3 linked regions of the Stegostoma tigrinum genome follow. The main gene of each other region encodes a partner of the protein of the gene in region 3 in a complex. Links are inferred from orthologs where the notes say so. Each region holds a gene or a part of one and is shown on either strand. Other genes may lie near its edges.

Region 1 (6,040 bases), on a different chromosome or scaffold from region 3:
ATAAAAGAATGAGCTCAGGAATTCTTGTGTAATCAAAACAGCTAAATTTAAAACTTTGTTGGATCATGTGTGAATAAAGGGAGTCAGCATGGCTTTGAGGGGGGCAGGTCATGCCTTACAAATCTTATTGAGTTCTTTGAGGAAGTCACGAGACAGGTTGATGAGGGTCGAGCAGTGGACGTGGTGTACATGGACTTCAGCAAGGCATTTGATAAGGTTCCCCACGGCAGGCTCATTCATAAAGTCAGGAGGTATGGGATACAGGGTGATTTGGCTGACAGGAGGCAGGGAGTGGTTGTAGATGGTAAGTATTCTGCCTGGAGGTCAGTGCTGAATGGTGTCCCGCAGAGCTCTGTTCTTGGGCTTCTGCTCTTTGTACTTTTTATAAATGACTTGGATGAGGAGGTTGAGGGGTGGGTTAGTATGTTTGCTGATGACAAAGGTTGGAGGTGCCGTTGATAGTATCGAGGGCTATTGCTAGCTTCAGTGAGACATTGACAGAACGCAGAGCTGGGCTGAGAAATGGCAGATGGAGTTCAACCTGGATAAATGCGAAGTGATGCATTTTGGAAGGTCGAACTTAAATGCTGAATTTAGGATTAAAGGCAGGATTCTCGGCAGTGTGGAGGAACAGCGGGATCTTGGTGTTCAAGTGCATAGCTCCCTCAAAGTTGCCACCCAAGTGGATAAGGTTGTTAAGAAAGCATATGGTGTTTTGGCTTTCATTAACAAGGGGATCGAGTTTAAGAGCCACGAGGTTATGCTGCAGCTCTACAGAACCCTGGTGAGACCACACTTGGAATATTGTGTCCAGTTCTGGTTGCCCTATTATAGGAAAGATGTGGAGGCTTTGGAGAGGGTGCAAAGGAGGTTTACCAGGATGCTGCCTGGACTGGAGGGCTTGTCATGAGGAGAGGTTGACTGAGCTTGGACTTTTCTCTCTGGAGAGAAGGAGGAAGAGAGGTGACCTGATCGAGGTGTACAAGGTAATGAGAGGCATGGATAGAGTCGATAGCCAGAGACTTTTCCCCAGGGCAGGATTGAATGCCACGAGGGGTCATAGTTTTAAGGTGTTAGGAGGAAGGTACAGAGGAGACGTCAGAGGGAGGTTCTTCACCCAGAGAGCTGTGAGCGCATGGAATACTTTACCAGTGGTAGTCGTGGAAGCAGAATCATTAGTGACATTTAAGTGACTGCTGGACATGCACATGGACAGCAGTGAATTGAGGGGAATGTAGGTTAGGTTATTTTATTTTTGGATTAAGATTATTCCACGGCACAACATCGTGGGCTGAAGGGCCTGTACTGTGCTGTACTTTTCTATGTTCTATGGCAAAGCTCAACAACTTCCTGCGCTTGACTGAGTCAAATGGTTATGACATTAAGTTGCTTTTTAAAAATTCTTTAAATGGAATGTGGGAATGACCAGCACAGCCACCACCCTTCTCCTTTACCCAATCTCTCTCTTCGCGCTCTCTCTTGCCTCCTTACTATCTCTCTCCCTCCCCTCCCCCTTTCCTCTGTGTCTCTCCTTCCCTCCCCCAATCTGTGAAACTCTCCACTCTTCCTTCCATCCTTCTCTCCTACTCACCCAATGAGACACACACAGTCTCTCTCTCTCTCTCTCTCTCTCTCCCCCCCCTCCCCCTCTCACCCCCCACCCCTCACCATCACTATAGGGCTCTGTCTAGAACACAGAACATAGAACACTACAGCGCAGTACAGGCCCTTCGGCCCTCAATGTCACGCCAACCTGTGAAACCAAACTGAAGCCCATCTAACCTACACTATTCCATTATTATCCATATGCTTATCCAATGACCATTTAAATGCCCTTAAACTTAGGCAAGTCTACAACTGTTGCAGGCAGGGCATTCCACGCTCTTACTACTCTGAGTAAAGAACCTACCTCTATATCTGTCCTATATCTATTACCCCTCAATTTAAAGCTATGTCCCCTCATGTTAGCCATCACTATCTGAGGAAAAAGGCTCTCACTGTCTACCCTATCTAATCCTCTGATCATCTCGTATGTCTCTATTAGGTTACCTCTTAACCTTCTTCTGTCTAATGAAAACAGCGTCAAGTCTCTCAGCCTTTCCTCATAAGGCCTTCCCTCCATACCAGGCAACATCCTGGTAAATATCCTCTGCACCCTTTCCAACGCTTCCACATCCTTCCTATAATGCAGCGACTAGGACTGTAAGCAATACTCCACGTGCAGCCGCAGAGTTTTGTACACGTGCAACATGACCTCATGGCTCCGAAACTCAATCCCTCTACCAATAAAACTTAACACACCGTACACCTTCTTAACAACCCTATCAACCTGGGTGGCAACTTTCAGGGATCGATGTACATGGACACAAGGATCTCTCTGCTCATCCACACTACCAAGAATCTTACTATTAGCCCAGTACTCTGGATTCCTGTTGCTCCTTCCAAAGTGAATCACCTCACACTTTTTCATATTAAACTCCATTTGCCACCTCTCAGCTCATCTCTGCAGCTTATCTAATGTCCCTCTGTAACCCACCACATCCTTCCACACTCTCCATAACTCCACCGACTTTAGTGTCATCTGCAAATTTACTAACCCATCCTTCTATGCTCTCATCCAGGTCATTTATAAAAATTACAAACAGCAGTGGCCCCAAAACAGATCCTTGCGGTACACCACTAGTAACTAGTCTCCAGGATGAACACTTCCCATCAACTACCACCCTCTGTCTTCTTTCAACTAGCCAACTTCTGATCCAAACCGCTAAATCACCCTCAATCACATGCCTCCGCATTTTATGCAATAGCCTACCGTAGGGTCTTTCAACCTGCTTCTCTACTCCGTCCCCCGGTCTGGTCTCTGTGAGACAGTCACTCACACTCTATCTCCGTCCCTATCCCTCCACTTCCTACCTCCTCACTCACTCACTCTTGCCCCCCGGCCTGGTCCCTGTCCCTGTGAGACTCTCTCCCTCAACCCCCCCGGCCCGGTCCCTGTAAGACTCTCCCTCACCACCCCACCCCGGGCCCGGTCCCTGTGAGACTCTCTCTCCCCCCCGGGCCCGGTCCCTGTGAGACTCTCTCTCCCTCCCCGGGCCCGGTCCCTGTGAGACTCTCTCTCCCTCCCCGGGCCCGGTCCCTGTGAGACTCTCTCTCCCCCCCGGGCCCGGTCTCTCTCAGACCCTCTCTCACTCACCATGGCACCGACAATGACGGCAGCTCCCAGTCAAACCGGTTCAAACCCGCGGCGCCTGCGCGCGGACGGACCGCCCGATATCGCGAGAATTCCGCCGATCCCTGCCCACTGTGTCACCTGTGTTCCCGCCTTTTCGTTTGATTGACGTGCTACCAGCCTGCCAAGCGGCTGGAAGTATTCATCCGGCTGCACATTGGGCTTAAGGCGAGAGGGGAAAGATTTAAAAGGGATTCGAGGGGCTACGTTCCCGCGCAGAGGGTGGTGTACATGTTGTTTGAGCTGCTGGAGGCGAATACAGTTACAATGACAACATTTAGAAGACGTTTGGACGGGTACGTGGTTAGGAGGGATATTGTCCAAGTGCAGGTAGGTAGAGTTCAGTTTAGGAAACCTGGTCGCCCTGTAATTGGCCAAAGGGTCGGTTTCCATGCTGCATGAGTTTGACTCAAAAGTTCTGTGAACACTTGAGAGAAATACACCAGCAGGGATGCTGGGATAGACCAGAGTAACAAGATTGATAAGGCTGCTGTACTAGAGCTAACGTGGATTAAATGGATGGAATGGCCACCTCCTGTCCTTTCATGACTCAATGAGTGAAACAAAGCTAATCATTCAGGCTGATGACTCTTCATCCAGTACTGGATAAAGCTAGAGATGCAACAACTTTGCTGCAAGTACAGGGGCAGAGCAAGAGGAGATTAGAGGAAAGAACAAGAGAGAATGCCTGTGAGATGGTTGAAGAGATGAAATGCACCTTCCCTGTGAGGCTGAATGCAAACTGAAGATTAGGCAACTTACCTTTTCATTGTAACGCAGTGTGGAGCTGGAGGAACACAGCAGGCCAGGCAGCATCAGAGGAGTAGGAAAGTTGATTTTTTTTAGGGTAAGGATGCTTCTTCAGAATTTCTGGATTTCTGAAGAAGGGTCCTGACCTGAAACATCAACTTTCCTACTCCTTTACTGCCTCTGACACCAGCATTGACTGTTCTTACTATCTCATCTTTCAATAAGGCAGTTTGTAAGATCACACAGAAATTTCTGATCATAGCTTTTGACTCCATTTTGTAACTTTAAAAATCTTTTTTTAAATGCCATTTGATGCTGATTTATATCCTTTCACCACACACCTTTGGCATTTTCACACCTAATTGTCACCCCAATTTTAGCGTACCCCATGTACCATCATCCTTTTCTTCATTTGATTTCTGCTGCCTTCCAGCCTATCATAAACCTTCCATCTTGTCGTCATCTTCTACTCTCACTCTTCCTCGTCATCGTCAATCCCACATCTGTTTATCTTGCACTGGGGTGGAATGTACTGCCAGGTGTGGTGGTGGTGAAGGCAGATACAATAGAGGCAATAGGATTTTTAGATAAGCCCATGAATATGCAAGGAATGGTGGGATATTTTTCAAGGGCAGGAAGGGATTAGTTTCATTTGGTGTCCTTTTTGGCACAACATAGTGGGCTGAAGGGCCCATTCCTGTGCTGTGCAGTTCTGTGTTCATGCCTGACCAGGATTTCATTCAGAATACTGCTGAAGTGATACATTTCCTGGAAAGTACAGTGAGACAGGTCACGGCATCATATGTGACTCAGTTGTCAAGGGAAAGAAGAAGACAGGATGTGTGATAGTGGTGGAAGCGTCTTAGTTCAGAGAATAGAATGTTTTCTTTCACCCACAGATGTTACTCCAGGATGTCAGAGTGCCTTTCTTTTGTAAGGATGCAGGATGTCACTAGGCAGTTGCAAACATGGTGAAATGGGGGTTGATCAGCTGGAGATCATAGTTCATATAGGTACCAACAACAGACGTAAATGAGGATTCAGATTCAGCAGGCATGTTTTAGGGAGATAAAGGAGAGTTTATTAAGCAGGAAGTCAACATCAGTATTCAGTAATGAGGCCCAATCCTCATCATGAAAAAGGGTGACGTGAGAGCAAAGTTGCAAGGCTTACCCATTAAGATGCAGGAGTAAAATTACACCATTTGACCCATCAAGGTGCTCCATCATTCAATTCAATCATGGTTGATCTGATAAGCCTCAACTACTTATCTACCTTTCTCCCATAACCCTTCTTTCCCTTACTGACTAAATCCTGTCTATCTCAGCCTTGAGGGAGGCCAGGGAAAAAATTGCTAAAGCATTGAAGGACATCTTTGGGCACAGTTGAGGTCGCAGGGGACTGAAGAATAGCCAATGTTGTGCCATTATTTAAGAAAGGTAACAGGGATAATCCTGGAAATTACAGGCTATGAGTCTTACATCAGTGGTAGGGAAATTAGTGGAAAAGTCTCAGAGCCAAAATATAAATGCGTTTTGAAGCAAATGGACTTATTAACGATAGACAGCATGGTTTTGCAGGGAGGTCGTGCTTCACTAACTTGATCAAGTGTTTTTAGGAGGTGATAAAGATGATTGATGGGGAAAGAGCGTTTGATGTTGTCCGTGTGGATTTCAGTAAAGCCTTTGACAAGGTCCCTTGTGGCAGATTGGTACAAAAGGTGAAGTCAGATAGTATCAGGGTGGGCTGGCAAGGTGGATGCAGAACTGCCTCAATCATAGGAGACAGAAGGAAACGGTGGAGGGATGCTTTTTGGAATGGAGGATTGTGACTAGTGGTGTTCAACGATCAGTTCTGAGTCCTCTGCTAGTTGTGGTCTATGCAAATAGCTGATCCAATTAATAACTTTGCAGACAATACAAAGATTGGTGGAGTTGTGGATAGTGAGAAGGATCATCAGAGGATACGTCAGGATATAAATCATTTGGAGGCATGGGCAGAAAAATTTTATCTGGGCAAAATGTGAGGCGATGCTCTTTGGAAGGTCAAATACAGGTA
Region 2 (6,040 bases), on a different chromosome or scaffold from region 3:
CAAGTTGTTTAAGTGACTATAGCTCTAAATTTTCATCATAGAAAAGGATAAAGGATAATATAGAAATTAAGTGTCTAAAGTGAGCAAAGGGCAATTTTAATATCATTAGACAGGATGTGGAAAATATAAAATGGGAGCAGCTACGCAGATAATTCTTCAGTTGGAAAAAGTGGGAGTCAGAACTATACTGAGAACTCAGGGCCCACGTGTTCCCCCAAAAGCGAAGGTAGTGGAGGATGGCATGGGACAGAGAGTTTGATAAAGAAAAGGATGGAAGTATGCGTTAGGTACAGAGCATTGAAAACAGAAAGTCCCTTCAGGAGAATAGTGTGTATAGGGGTTCTTCGGCAGATACAATTAAGGAAAACTCCTAGGTATTTTGTAAGTATATTAAAACAACCAGATTACCAGGGATAGAGTGGGGCCTTTTGGGAACCAAAGGGGCATTCTGAGCATGGAGCCAGAGCATGCAGGTGAGGTCTTAAAGGAATGTTTCTCATCTGTATTCACAAAACAGAAAGACGTTGTAACTGGAGATTTCAGTTGGGATGGTGAGGTTCTAGAGCATGTTCAGATTAATAGGAGGAGGAATTAGATGTTTTAGTGAGATGATCAAAAGCACTGACAGATAAATTGTTTAAATACGAGACAATAAGGTATGGAGCTGGATGAACACAGCAGGAACGCTGATGTTTCAGGTCTGGACCCTTCATCAGAAAATTTTCTGAAGGGTCCAAGCCTGAAACATCAGCTTTCCTGCTCCTCTGATGCTGCCTGGCCTGCTGTGTTCATCCAGCTCTACACCTTGTTATTTCAAATTCTCCAGCATCGGCAGTTCCTACTGTCTATATTGTTTAAACATGATCCTTCTCGGGCACAGCATTTGAGTCAAAGAGGATCTAGCAAATGCTTTGGTTCCTTAAGCAGAGATTAATAATGAATTAAAGAAGTTATGACAACTTCCTATACGATGCACTTTACAAAAGCCAAGCAAGTGCACAGCCAGCAGATGAAACCTTAACTGCATACCTCTTCCTTGCTACCGTCTTGCTTCCAGTCGCCATTTCCTCATCAACAGTTGATGCTGTCAGACATCAACTAAGATCCTGCATATTTCATCTAATACTGTACCAGTATTGAATAGAGTACTGCACTGCCTATGCATTTTTACTACAAAATATTGCTTTGTTAACTACAGTAATATAATTTCCTTTTAAGTAATGCATATATTTAGAAGTTTAACTGTATTTGTTGAAATGTTTCAATGCTTTTCCAACATGGGGCATGCTTCTATTTCATTGGGCATGTATTGGCTGCATAGAGGAAAGGCTTAGCATATCCATGGTATTCATGTTTTTTGGGTATCTGTGGGAGGTCCACGCTCTATTCCTCATGGGCATCAAGGATTTAGTGTGTTTTAAAACAAACAGCATGGTTTTCTTCAGGAAAGAGACAGAAAATGATACAGAAACAAAATACTGAAAGAAACAGTGTCAGACAGAAAGCACAAAAGAGTCATGCAAGCAACTAATCAGTCCTGGGAAGAATGCTTTTTTTCAAAAACTTTCTCAATATACAGTTGTAGTTTTACAGTCCATTATAAAGCATAACTTTCAAATTTTATTTAGAAAGGAAAGAAGTGAATTTACCATTGTTGCCTCGAATAAATGCATCTCCATACTTGTTCTTAAGTTGACCATTTACATATTCTTCTGTTTGTTCCAATGCTATATTCATATAACCATCCAGACAGGCCAAAACACCTGGCAAAAATGATACAACTGTAATTAAAATTTATTAAAACCCATTATTAGAATGTTCGGTGTAACATAGCAATGATGCAGAACTGGCTCCAAGGTAGAAGATCATGGGTGGTGATGTACAGTTGCTTTTCAGACTGGGGGCCTGTGGCCAGTGGTGTGCCACAAGGGTCAACGTTGGGTCCATTACTTTTCATCATTTATATAATGAGCGTGGAAATTGCAGGGGTACTGGCCACAATCTTTCAGTCTCCCCTGGTCTTGGAGGAGATGCCAAGGATAAGCCAATCATTACAGACTAATCAGGTTAATTTCAGCATTGGGGAAGTTTTGAGACAATTATTCAGGATAGAATTAATAAACACATGGAAAATGGCGGGTTGATTAGAAATCCACACTGATTCTTCCTAAAGTGGAAAATGGTGTTAAACTAACTTGGAGCTTTCTGAACAGGAAACAAAAATGCTTGAAGAAGATAACATTGTTGAGGTGGTGCACACGGATATTGAAAAGGTGTTTGGTACAGTGCCACAACACAGACCTGTGAGGAAAGTTATAGCTCATGTTATAAAAGGGTCACTAGCAAAATGAATAGAGTAATATATTTTTAGACTGGGCAAAGGTTTTTAAGAGGAGATCCCCAGGGGTCAGTATTGGGGCCCTTGCTTCTCCTGATAGATATTAATTATCTGGATCTTGATGTGCAGGGGCAATTTCAAAGCTTGCAAAAGATATATAGTGCGGAAAAGGTTGGTGGAGTGGGCACATGGGCAGTAGATGCATTTCAATGCAGAGAAGTGCAGGTTGAAACACTTTGGTAGGAAGAACATTGAAAGCCAATATTAAATAGTAGGCACACTATGGAGGATGCAAGAGCATAGGGACCTGGGTGTGTATGTGCACAGATCTTTGAAAGTGGCAGGACAGATAAAGGGAGAGCAATAAATAAAGCATACAGTAGCCACAGATTAATTAGTGGAGTGCAAGAGCAAGGAGGTGATGCTGAACTTATATAGACACTTGTTAGACCTCTGCTAGAGTACTGGGTACAGTTGTGGGTGCCATGTTATCGGAAAGATGTGAACACATTGAACAAATTGCTGAAGCGATTTGTAAAAGGCTAAGCGTAGATCTGATAGAGGTTTTCAAGATCATGTAAGGGCTAGACAGGAGAGTGACAGCGAGAAACTGTTCTTATTTGTTTCAAGAACATAGATATGAAGTGATCTAGAGTGCAAAGTAAGCAAGGGTGAAGTGAGGAAAATTACCTTCCTTCAGTTAGGGTATGGAATTTACTGCCTAGAATTGTGGTGGAATTAGGTTCCATTGAGGCATTCATGAACTCACCAGCTGAAATTATATGCAAGGGCTTGGGGGGAAAGCAGGAAATCAGCTCTGGGTAATGATGCTCATTTAACAGTGCAGATAGAAGGCCTCCTTCTTTGCCAAAAAGTCTTCGGTGATTTTGTGACCCGGTCTTTTTTAAACTAGCGTTTAAGCAGCTGAGGGGGACGATTCCAATACAGTAAGTCCTCACTTTAAGTGGTTTTGTTTCGCATTGTTTTGTTTTAAAGATATTTATTCTTCAAGGCCTGTTTCCCTAATCAATTTACGGCATGACTTCTGATTTTACCAAGTTTGTGAACGCACTTGCCAACAGAAACGTGCAACACTGAAGTTGAACATCATAGCTGTGAATTAGGTTACAAGTGAATTTTTATATTATGACAATCTATTGAAATTCAGGCAAAGAAGACTGGAAATTCATTTGAAGGGACTGTAGGGCTTATATCCATGGTACAGGATTAAATGTTTTGTCCTAAGAGCTAATAATGACAGAAAGAAAATCATCAGGGCAACTACACACTAAATATGGAGGAGATTAAAAAATGCAAAAATGAAAATACAGCATTCTGTGATTTTTTTTAAAAATGCACTTCACTGTAAGACTGGAAGCACTATACGAGGTGGGAAGGGGAAAAGGTTCCAGAAGCTTACAGAAGAAAATACAATAAGACTACCTGAGGAAGTTAGATTAAGGGATAGTGGACTAGGATTAGGGACCTTCCTTTAACTTCTCTTGAATCATGGACTAATCAAAATTTTACACCACAAAAGAAAGTTATTCGGCCTATCACTTTGGTGCTGGCTTTTGAAGCAGCTATCCAACCACATGTATTCTCACGTCTGGCTCTTATTGCATAGCCCTCTTCAATTTATATAGAATTTCTTTAACATTTCAAATGACTTGTTCTGTTTTGCAAATTATTTCAATAGGAATGCAGTGTTGCACATGTGAAAAATGCTATTTTGACTTGTTCATTTGGTTTGTCCAGGAACGAATGTCCAAAAGGTCCCAACAGTAGTTTTAAACCTGATCCCTATGGCAACTCATGGTTCACTCAGTTATTTCACTTGAAGTTGAAATTTTCAGGAATTCAAATACAATTTTAAGTGAGGGCTTACCGTACCTCGATAATCCACGCCCGAGTTCAGTTTGACTACCACTGGTCTCCCGATGATCTGTTTTAGAAAATCACTTGGTGTTTGCTTTCGCAGGCTCATTTTTTTAATCCTTCAGCCTGCATCAGAACAGAAACATTTCCTAAATGACAATACAAGCACACATAATTCAGAACCAACTTTGCAAAGAACTGACATGGGCTTCTACAATTATAACAAACTGTTATCATCAGTTGAGAGCACTAGTGAGAAAGAGGATGAGTGAATGACAAGCAAAAAGGCAGTGGCTAGTATTAGCAGAAAATTCTTTCTTTATCTCCAAAAGCATCAATTTAAATTTAGTAATTTAAATTAATTGCAGAGTAAAAGCTGGATACTTCCAGGAAAGAAAGAGAACTTCAATATAATTTGTTATTTAAATTGTGGATGAAGTTTTGTAGGTAGAGTTTAGGAATAAAAAAGGGACAGCTGGATTGCTAAGTGTTTATTGTAGACTCCCAGAGAGCTGACAGGAAATTGAGGAGCAAATTTTTGCACCATTTGTTGATGTGTGTAAAAATAACAACTAAGGATAATTATAACATGTGATTTCAACTTTCCCAACATTACCTGGGATAGACATAATGTTAAGTGCTTGGATTGAGTGAATTTCTTGAAATATGTACAGGAGAACCTTTTAGGCCAATATACAGAGGGTCCTGGTCCCAATTCTGGTGGTGGTGAGGGAGCATTTTAGTGATAGCAATCACAACATGGTATAATTTAAGCTGAATATAGAAAAAGAAATAGGTAACTTGCAAGAAAAAAAGAGTTTTGGATGGAGGCAAAGGGCAGATTTTAGTAAAATACATTAGGATCTGGTAGACTAGTGAGGAAAACTACAGAAGAACAGTGGGGAACATTCAAAAAGTAAATGGAGAGGGTACAAGCCTAACATGTTCCCTCCAGGGATACGGGAAAGAATAACAAGCCCAGAGAACCATGGATGATCAGAGATATTCAGGATACGATAAGAAGGGAGAAAAGAGGCAGGCACAAGCAGAGGCATTAATGGAGATTAATGGCAATTAGGAAAGCAAAAGGGGATATGGTAAAAGTAGGGAAAACACCAAGAGATATTCTACAAGTATAAATACATCAAGGGGGAAAGAGTGTAACCACGGTGAGAGCAGGCCCCATTAGGGAACAAGTGGGCAATTTGTGGCTGGGGCCAGAGGACAAAGGTAAAGTCGTGACCCAATATCATCTATCTTCACTTAAGAAAATGAAGATGAAGATATAGAACCCTGGGGGAAAGAGACTGCGAGGTGCTTGAGCAAATTGCCATAGGGAAGGACAAGGTTTTGGAGGTGCTGGCAGGCTTAAAGATGAACAAATCTCTGGGTCCAAACAAAAAGGCCTACTGGTATTATCGCTGGACTGTTAATCCAGAGACCCAGATAATGTTCTGGGGACCTGGATTTGAATTCCACCATGGCCAATGGTAGCATTTGAATTTAATAAGTATCTGGAATTAAGAGTCTAATGATGACCATGGATCAAATGTCATTGTTGGAAAAACCCATCTGGTTCACTAATGTCCTCTAGAGAAGGAAACCACCTTCATTAGCTAGTCTGGCCTACATGTGACTCCAGGTCTGTAGCAATGTGGTTGACTTTTAATTGCCCTCTTGGCAATTAGGGATGGGCAATAAATGCTGCCAAGCCAGCCACACCCTCATCCCATGAATGAATAAAGGAAAAAATGAAATTGTGTCCTTGGCTGTTGTAGGAGGACAAGGAGGAGATTGCAATGCCACTGACCCAAATTTTTAATT
Region 3 (6,040 bases):
ATAAATGCTGGTCTAGCCAGCAACAATCACATCCCAAAAATGAATTTTACAAAGCCCTCCTTCAATAAAATTAGATGCACCTCATTCCCCAGAATTGAATCCATCAATGCCTTCTCCTTTGGTCTGAAATCAGACTGATACAGAACATCTGAGATAATGGGAACTGCAGATGCTGGAGAATCCAAGATAATAAAATGTGAGGCTGGATGAACACAGCAGGCCCAGCAGCATCTCAGGAGCACAAAAGCTTTTCTGATGAAGGGTCTAGGCCCGAAACGTCAACTTTTGTGCTCCTGAGATGCTGCTGGGCCTGCTGTGTTCATCCAGCTCCACACTTTGAAACAGAACATCTTCCCCCTTTCTAAGCTTCTAAAAGTGTTGTTCAGATTTGTACTTGTCAGTCACACATTGTAGCCATGGGCTCCACTTACTCTTGTCATTGCCATGGAAAAGGGTAATGCTCTCTTCCAAACTCCCCTGTCAGGCAGAAAATACTGAAGTTGAAAGCACACACCAACAGGTTCAAGAACAGCTTCTTCCCTGATGTTATCAGACTGCTGAGTGGACCTCTCAAGCCTCCAATAATGTTGGTGTTGCTTTTGTGCACCTTCTAATGTGGCTGTGACCTCCTGTGCCTCATAGAACATAGAACATTACAGCACAGTACAGGCCCTTCGGCCCTCGATGTTGTGCCGACCTGTCATACCGATCTCAAGCCCATCTAACCTACACTATTCCATGTACATCCATATGCTTGTCCAATGACGACTTAAATGTACTTAAAGTTGGCGAATCTACTACCGTTTCAGGCAAAGCATTCCATTCCCTTACTACTCTCTGAGTAAAGAAACTACCTGTGACATCTGTCCTATATCTTTGACCCCTCAATTTAAAGCTATGCCCCCTCGTGCTCGCTGTCATCACCCTAGGAAAAAGGCTCTCGCTCTGTCTAAGCAGCTTGTGATTTTTATATCTTTGTTTGCTATGATCTGCCTGTACCACATGCAAAACAAAACATTTCACTGTAATTAGGTACGTGACTATAATGAATCAAAGATAGCCTCCAAAGGTCTAGGCCCAAAACATCAGCTTTTGTGCTCCTAAGATGCTGCTTGGCCTGCTGTGTTCATCCAGCTTCAGTTTGTTACCATAGTCTCCAAATAGATCTCTTGTTGTTTGTAATCAAACTGCCTGGAGATGTAATGGCATCCTCCAGGACAGGTGGGACTTGAACATGGATCAAGAACCATTATCCCCCTCTTTCTATCCTTTGGAACATTACTACCTCTGTCTATATTTGAATGATTTAAAAAAAACATTATCTCTGGGCCATAATTTTCTACACCAATTCAATCTTCTACTATGATAAAACAAAGAATGGCATTTGCTGAAAATCTGAAACAACAGGAATTGCTGGAGAAATGTAGGGGGTCTGGCAGCATGTGTGGAGAGGAGGCAGAGTTAACATTTGGAGTCCGTGTTCTGAAGAAGGATCACTGGACTTGAAACGTTAACTCTGCTTTCTCTGCACAGATGCTGACAGACCTGCTGAGTTTCACCAGCAATTTCAATCTCCTACCACCTTGAGGCCATGAAAAGTGCTGTATAAATATAGCCCCTTTCTCAGGAGGTGTGGACTCGTTGGGCCGAAGGGCCTGTTTCCACGCTGTAGGGAATCTCATCTAATCAAGAGGTGCCAAAGCAACCACAGCTAACGATTATGAGGCCTCCAGTTCTGAGGAAGGGTCAGCGGACCCTAAACTCTGCTTTCTCCTTCACGGGCGCTGCCAGGCCTGCTGAGCTCTTCCAGCAACTTCTGCTTTCAGCTGCTGGAAAAGCTCAGCACCTGCAGCTCTTTTGGTTTTGTTCTTGATGATCATGACTCCTGCGGTGGATGGTAAAGGTCTGAACGATGGCAGAGGCTGATTGCATTGCATTTGGTTAAAAGTGTTTGTAAATTAGTCACTGCATGAAGAGGAAAAGCAACTTGAGGCATAGTTACCAGGAGGCAGCTGCTTTGCACACTTCACTGGGCCCTCTCTGACAGGTTTAGTTCTGCTGCAGTCCTTCTTCAATCTTTTGCAGGTAGCCTGGGTTGAGCTTTGGGTTTTTGACCCTTTCCTTTTGGCCATGTTCGCGCCTCCTGTAACTTGAGGAAAGGTGCAGTCAATCTCAGATGCTCTCCAGCCGCCTGTTATAAAACAGGGTTATACAACAGCAGCTTCCCCCGGAAGAAGGGGGCGGGGGGAGGTTAGAAAAGGAGGCGGAGAGATGTGCCCAGAGCTGGGCACTGATCCCCACTCTCACCTTCCCGCCGCACCGCGCACGCGCCAGTCACCCGCTCCTCCTCCTCCTCCCGGCCGCTGCGGGGCGCGGCAGCGGGAGGACCCGCTCCCCGCCGCTACCACAACGCGGTCAGCACGCATGCGCAGGTTGCAGTCACCCGGATTCAAACCATGGCGGAGGAGGGAGACCAGGTAAAAAAAACCCGGGATGGGGAATGTGAATGAGTGAGAGAAAAGAAAGAAAGAAGGAGTGAGTAAGTAGTAGGAGGAGGAGGAAGAAGGAAGGCAGGAAGGGGCGAAAAGAGAGGGAGGGTGTGAGTGTGAATAAATGAGAGAGTGAAAGGGAGAGGAGGGGGGAGGGAGAGTGTGGGGAGGGGGGAGGGAGAGTGTGGGGAGGGAGAGTGTGGGGAGGGAGAGTGTGGGGAGGGGGGAGGGAGAGTGGGGGGGGAGAGGAGGGGGAGTGAGGGGGGGAGTGGGTGAGGGGGGGGAGGAGTGGGTGAGGGGGGGGAGGAGTGGGTGAGGGGGGGGAGGAGTGGGTGAGGGGGGGGGAGAGTGTGGGGGGAGAGGAGGGGGAGGGAGAGTGAGGGGGGGTGTGAGGAGGGGGAGGGAGAGTGAGGGGGGGTGTGAGGAGGGGGAGGGAGAGTGAGGGGGGGTGTGAGGGGGGGGAGTGGGTGAGGGGGGGTGTGAGGGGGGGGAGTGGAGTGGGTGAGGGGGGGTGTGAGGGGGGGGAGTGGAGTGGGTGAGGGGGGGTGTGAGGGGAGGGAGTGGAGTGGGTGAGGGGGGGTGTGAGGGGGGGGAGTGGAGTGGGTGAGGGGGGGTGTGAGGGGGGGGAGTGGAGTGGGTGAGGGGGGGGAGTGGAGTGGGTGAGGGGGGGGAGTGGAGTGGGTGAGGGGGGGTGTGAGGGGGGGGAGTGGAGTGGGTGAGGGGGGGTGTGAGGGGGGGGAGTGGAGTGGGTGAGGGGGGGTGTGAGGGGGGGGAGTGGAGTGGGTGAGGGGGGGTGTGAGGGGGGGGAGTGGAGTGGGTGAGGGGGGGTGTGAGGGGGGGTGGAGTGGGTGAGTGGGGGTGGGGGGGGAGTGGGGGAGGGAGTGGGTGAGGGGGGGGGGAGTGTGGGGGAGGTGGGCATTTAGAACAGCTCAAGATAATTGGAAAGAGCAACCTTGGTTTTGTAACATGGAAATGAGTAGGGGGGTAGAGAGAAGGGGTGAGTGAGAGTGTGGGAGGGAGAGAGGACAGAGTGGAGAGAGAGAGTGTTGGGAGAGGAGAGAGTGGGAAAGAGCGAGAATGCGGGAGGACAAGGGAAGGGGAAATAGGGGTAGAAAGGGAAATGGCTGGGGAGATTGTGGGAGACAAGAGCCAGTAGAGAGGGTTTGGGGACAAGGGTGTTAGGTAGTGGATTGTGATTGAGAGAGAAGGGCAGGGGAGAGAGCGTGTAGGGGGAGGTGTGGGTGGAATGGGGGGACAAAATAGGAAGGGGAGAGGTCAGCGAAGTGGTTGGGGGGGGAAACAACGTGTGGGGTGAGAAGGGCGATTAGGAAGAGATCAAGGAGGGTGAGGAGATATAGGAGGTGAAAGGGCTCAGGAGAGTGAGGTGGGGATGGGGTGAGAGTAGGTGAGATACAGTAATTGTAGGGAACAGGAAGTAGGAGAGAGAGCAGGGGAAGGGAGACAGAGTGTGAGTCCTGCCCATTGTCTGAGGACAGTATTGATGGGATAGAGGTAGGTGAAAGACAGGGGGGAACAAGGCTGGCATACATTTGGGGAATTGGGTGTTGCGATATGGCAGGCAAGGCTGTTACATGCAAGGCATTGAGCAGTTTGATAGAGCTATGAGCACTCAAGATCCTGGGTTCATATGGACTTTACCCTAGAATCTTAAAACATTGGTAACGAAGTTAGTGGATGTATTGCTTTCAATTTTCTGAAATTCACTTGATTCTGAAAAGGTTCCATTAAATTGGAAAATAGCAAATATTAACCCCTCTATCCCAGAAAGGAGGGAGACAGGAAACTCGGCTTCGTGTTCTTTCATGGAAGGTGTTACGAGTTGATCATTAAGGAGGTTATAACTGGGCGTTTAGAAAAGCTCAAGATAATTGGAAAGAGCAAGCTTGGTTTTTTAAAATGGAAATCATGTTTAACAAATCTATCGAAGGTTTTAGGAATTAACAAGCTGTGGATGAAGTGGGGCTCATCGATGTACTAGACTTGGATATCCAGAAGGCAGTTTGATAAAGTTCCACAGAAAAGGAGAGCTCATGGCGTAGATAGTAAAATACTAGCACAAGGACAGAGTTGGCAGGTAGAAAAGAGTTTGCAGATTTTTTAACCAACTTGTTCGGCATATTATGACACAAATGCAGTAAGGCCTAGATAGTATCCAGGCTTGAACTGAAAAGTGGCAAGTAACATTCGCACCACACAAACGCAAGGCAATGACCATCTCCTATAAAAGAGAATCTAAACATTGCCAAAGCCCCCAAACATCATGAGGCATCGCTGAATTCTCTATTATAAACAGTCTGGGGATTACCATTACCGGAAACTCCATTAGATTTGCAAAATTAATACAGTTGTGGCACATTGGTACTGTCTGTACCTCTGGCACTGGGTTCAAGTACCACCTGCTCCAGAGGTGTGTAATGCCATCTCAGGTTGATAAGAAAATATATATGAATACATTGGCTATAAGGCAGGTCAGAGGCGAGGAATATGGCAGTGAGTAACTCGCCTCCTGACTTCTAAAAGCCTGTCCACTATCTGCAAGATCTACCATGTACTGTACTGTTTGGAGTGTGTTGGAATACTCCCCACTTGTTCGGATGAGTGCAGTTCAAACAACACTCGAGAAGCTCAACACCATCAAAGCATACCACTTGATTGGCACTCCATCCACCACTGACGCAACAGTGTGTACTTTCTACAAGATGCATTGCAGGTATTCATTGAAGATATTAAACGTAATCTTTCAAACCGATCACCTCTTAAGGACAAGGGCAGCAGATATGTGGGAACACCACTCCTGTAAGTTTCCCTCCAAGCCACTCACCTTCCTGATTTGAAATTTTTTGCTGTTCCTTCACTGTCACTGATTCAATATCTCGGGATCTCCCTTCATAATGGTGTTGCGAGTGTACCAACAGTGCGTGGAGAGATTTAAGAAGGCAACTTACTACCACTACCTCAACAGCAACTAGGGATAGGCAATAAATGCTGGCTTAGGCAGCGATGCTCATGTCCACTAGTGAATTTAAAAAAGAATCTCTTGAGCAGGTGAGATGTGAATCTGGTCCTTCTGGCCCTGAGTTAAGGACATTACCACATGGCGATAAGTGCCCTTAGAAAGTATAGATAAATAGGACTTTTACTGACTGGTAGGATGTGATGAAGATTAACGTTCCACAGTGATCTATGCTGGAACCACAATATTTTATAGTTTATGTCAGTGACTTTGTGTGGATTGAGCTTATAGCAACTACATTTGCAGATGGCACAAAGATTGGGAGGTATGATCATACTAGTACCTTTTATAATTTTAGCAAGATTGATGTGTTTTTATATTCCATTCCCTTTGAAATAATGACTAGCGATCTATTAGTCTTCCCTATGGGCTGCTGCACTCGTATGTTTTCCTCTTGTGGTTCATGCTTCTGAGGGTTGAGAGATTTTGGAATTCACTGCCAGAGAAAGTGGTGGAGACAATATCATTGAATATTTTTAATTCAGTGGTAGATACGCTTTTGCCAGGCAGGAGAATC

Evidence for each region.
Region 1: lsm3 (region 3) and smx5 share a complex: the UniProt entries of both Homo sapiens proteins name them as parts of the precatalytic spliceosome. The link is inferred for Stegostoma tigrinum from reciprocal best matches to the Homo sapiens genes LSM3 and LSM2.
Region 2: lsm3 (region 3) and lsm6 share a complex: the UniProt entries of both Homo sapiens proteins name them as parts of the precatalytic spliceosome. The link is inferred for Stegostoma tigrinum from reciprocal best matches to the Homo sapiens genes LSM3 and LSM6.

The regions. Positions count from the first base shown.
Region 1 is NC_081387.1:26,630,557-26,636,596, reverse strand, and holds the start of smx5 (smx5), read right to left. Parts: upstream 3,299-6,040; 5' UTR 3,200-3,298; coding exon 3,197-3,199; intron 1-3,196. UniProt on the Homo sapiens protein: Plays a role in pre-mRNA splicing as component of the U4/U6-U5 tri-snRNP complex that is involved in spliceosome assembly, and as component of the precatalytic spliceosome (spliceosome B complex).
Region 2 is NC_081354.1:46,944,478-46,950,517, reverse strand, and holds the start of lsm6 (U6 snRNA-associated Sm-like protein LSm6), read right to left. Parts: upstream 4,366-6,040; 5' UTR 4,326-4,365; coding exon 4,232-4,325; intron 1,764-4,231; coding exon 1,650-1,763; intron 1-1,649. UniProt on the Homo sapiens protein: Plays a role in pre-mRNA splicing as component of the U4/U6-U5 tri-snRNP complex that is involved in spliceosome assembly, and as component of the precatalytic spliceosome (spliceosome B complex).
Region 3 is NC_081364.1:2,891,321-2,897,360, forward strand, and holds the start of lsm3 (snRNA-associated Sm-like protein LSm3), read left to right. Parts: upstream 1-2,375; 5' UTR 2,376-2,456; coding exon 2,457-2,477; intron 2,478-6,040. UniProt on the Homo sapiens protein: Plays a role in pre-mRNA splicing as component of the U4/U6-U5 tri-snRNP complex that is involved in spliceosome assembly, and as component of the precatalytic spliceosome (spliceosome B complex).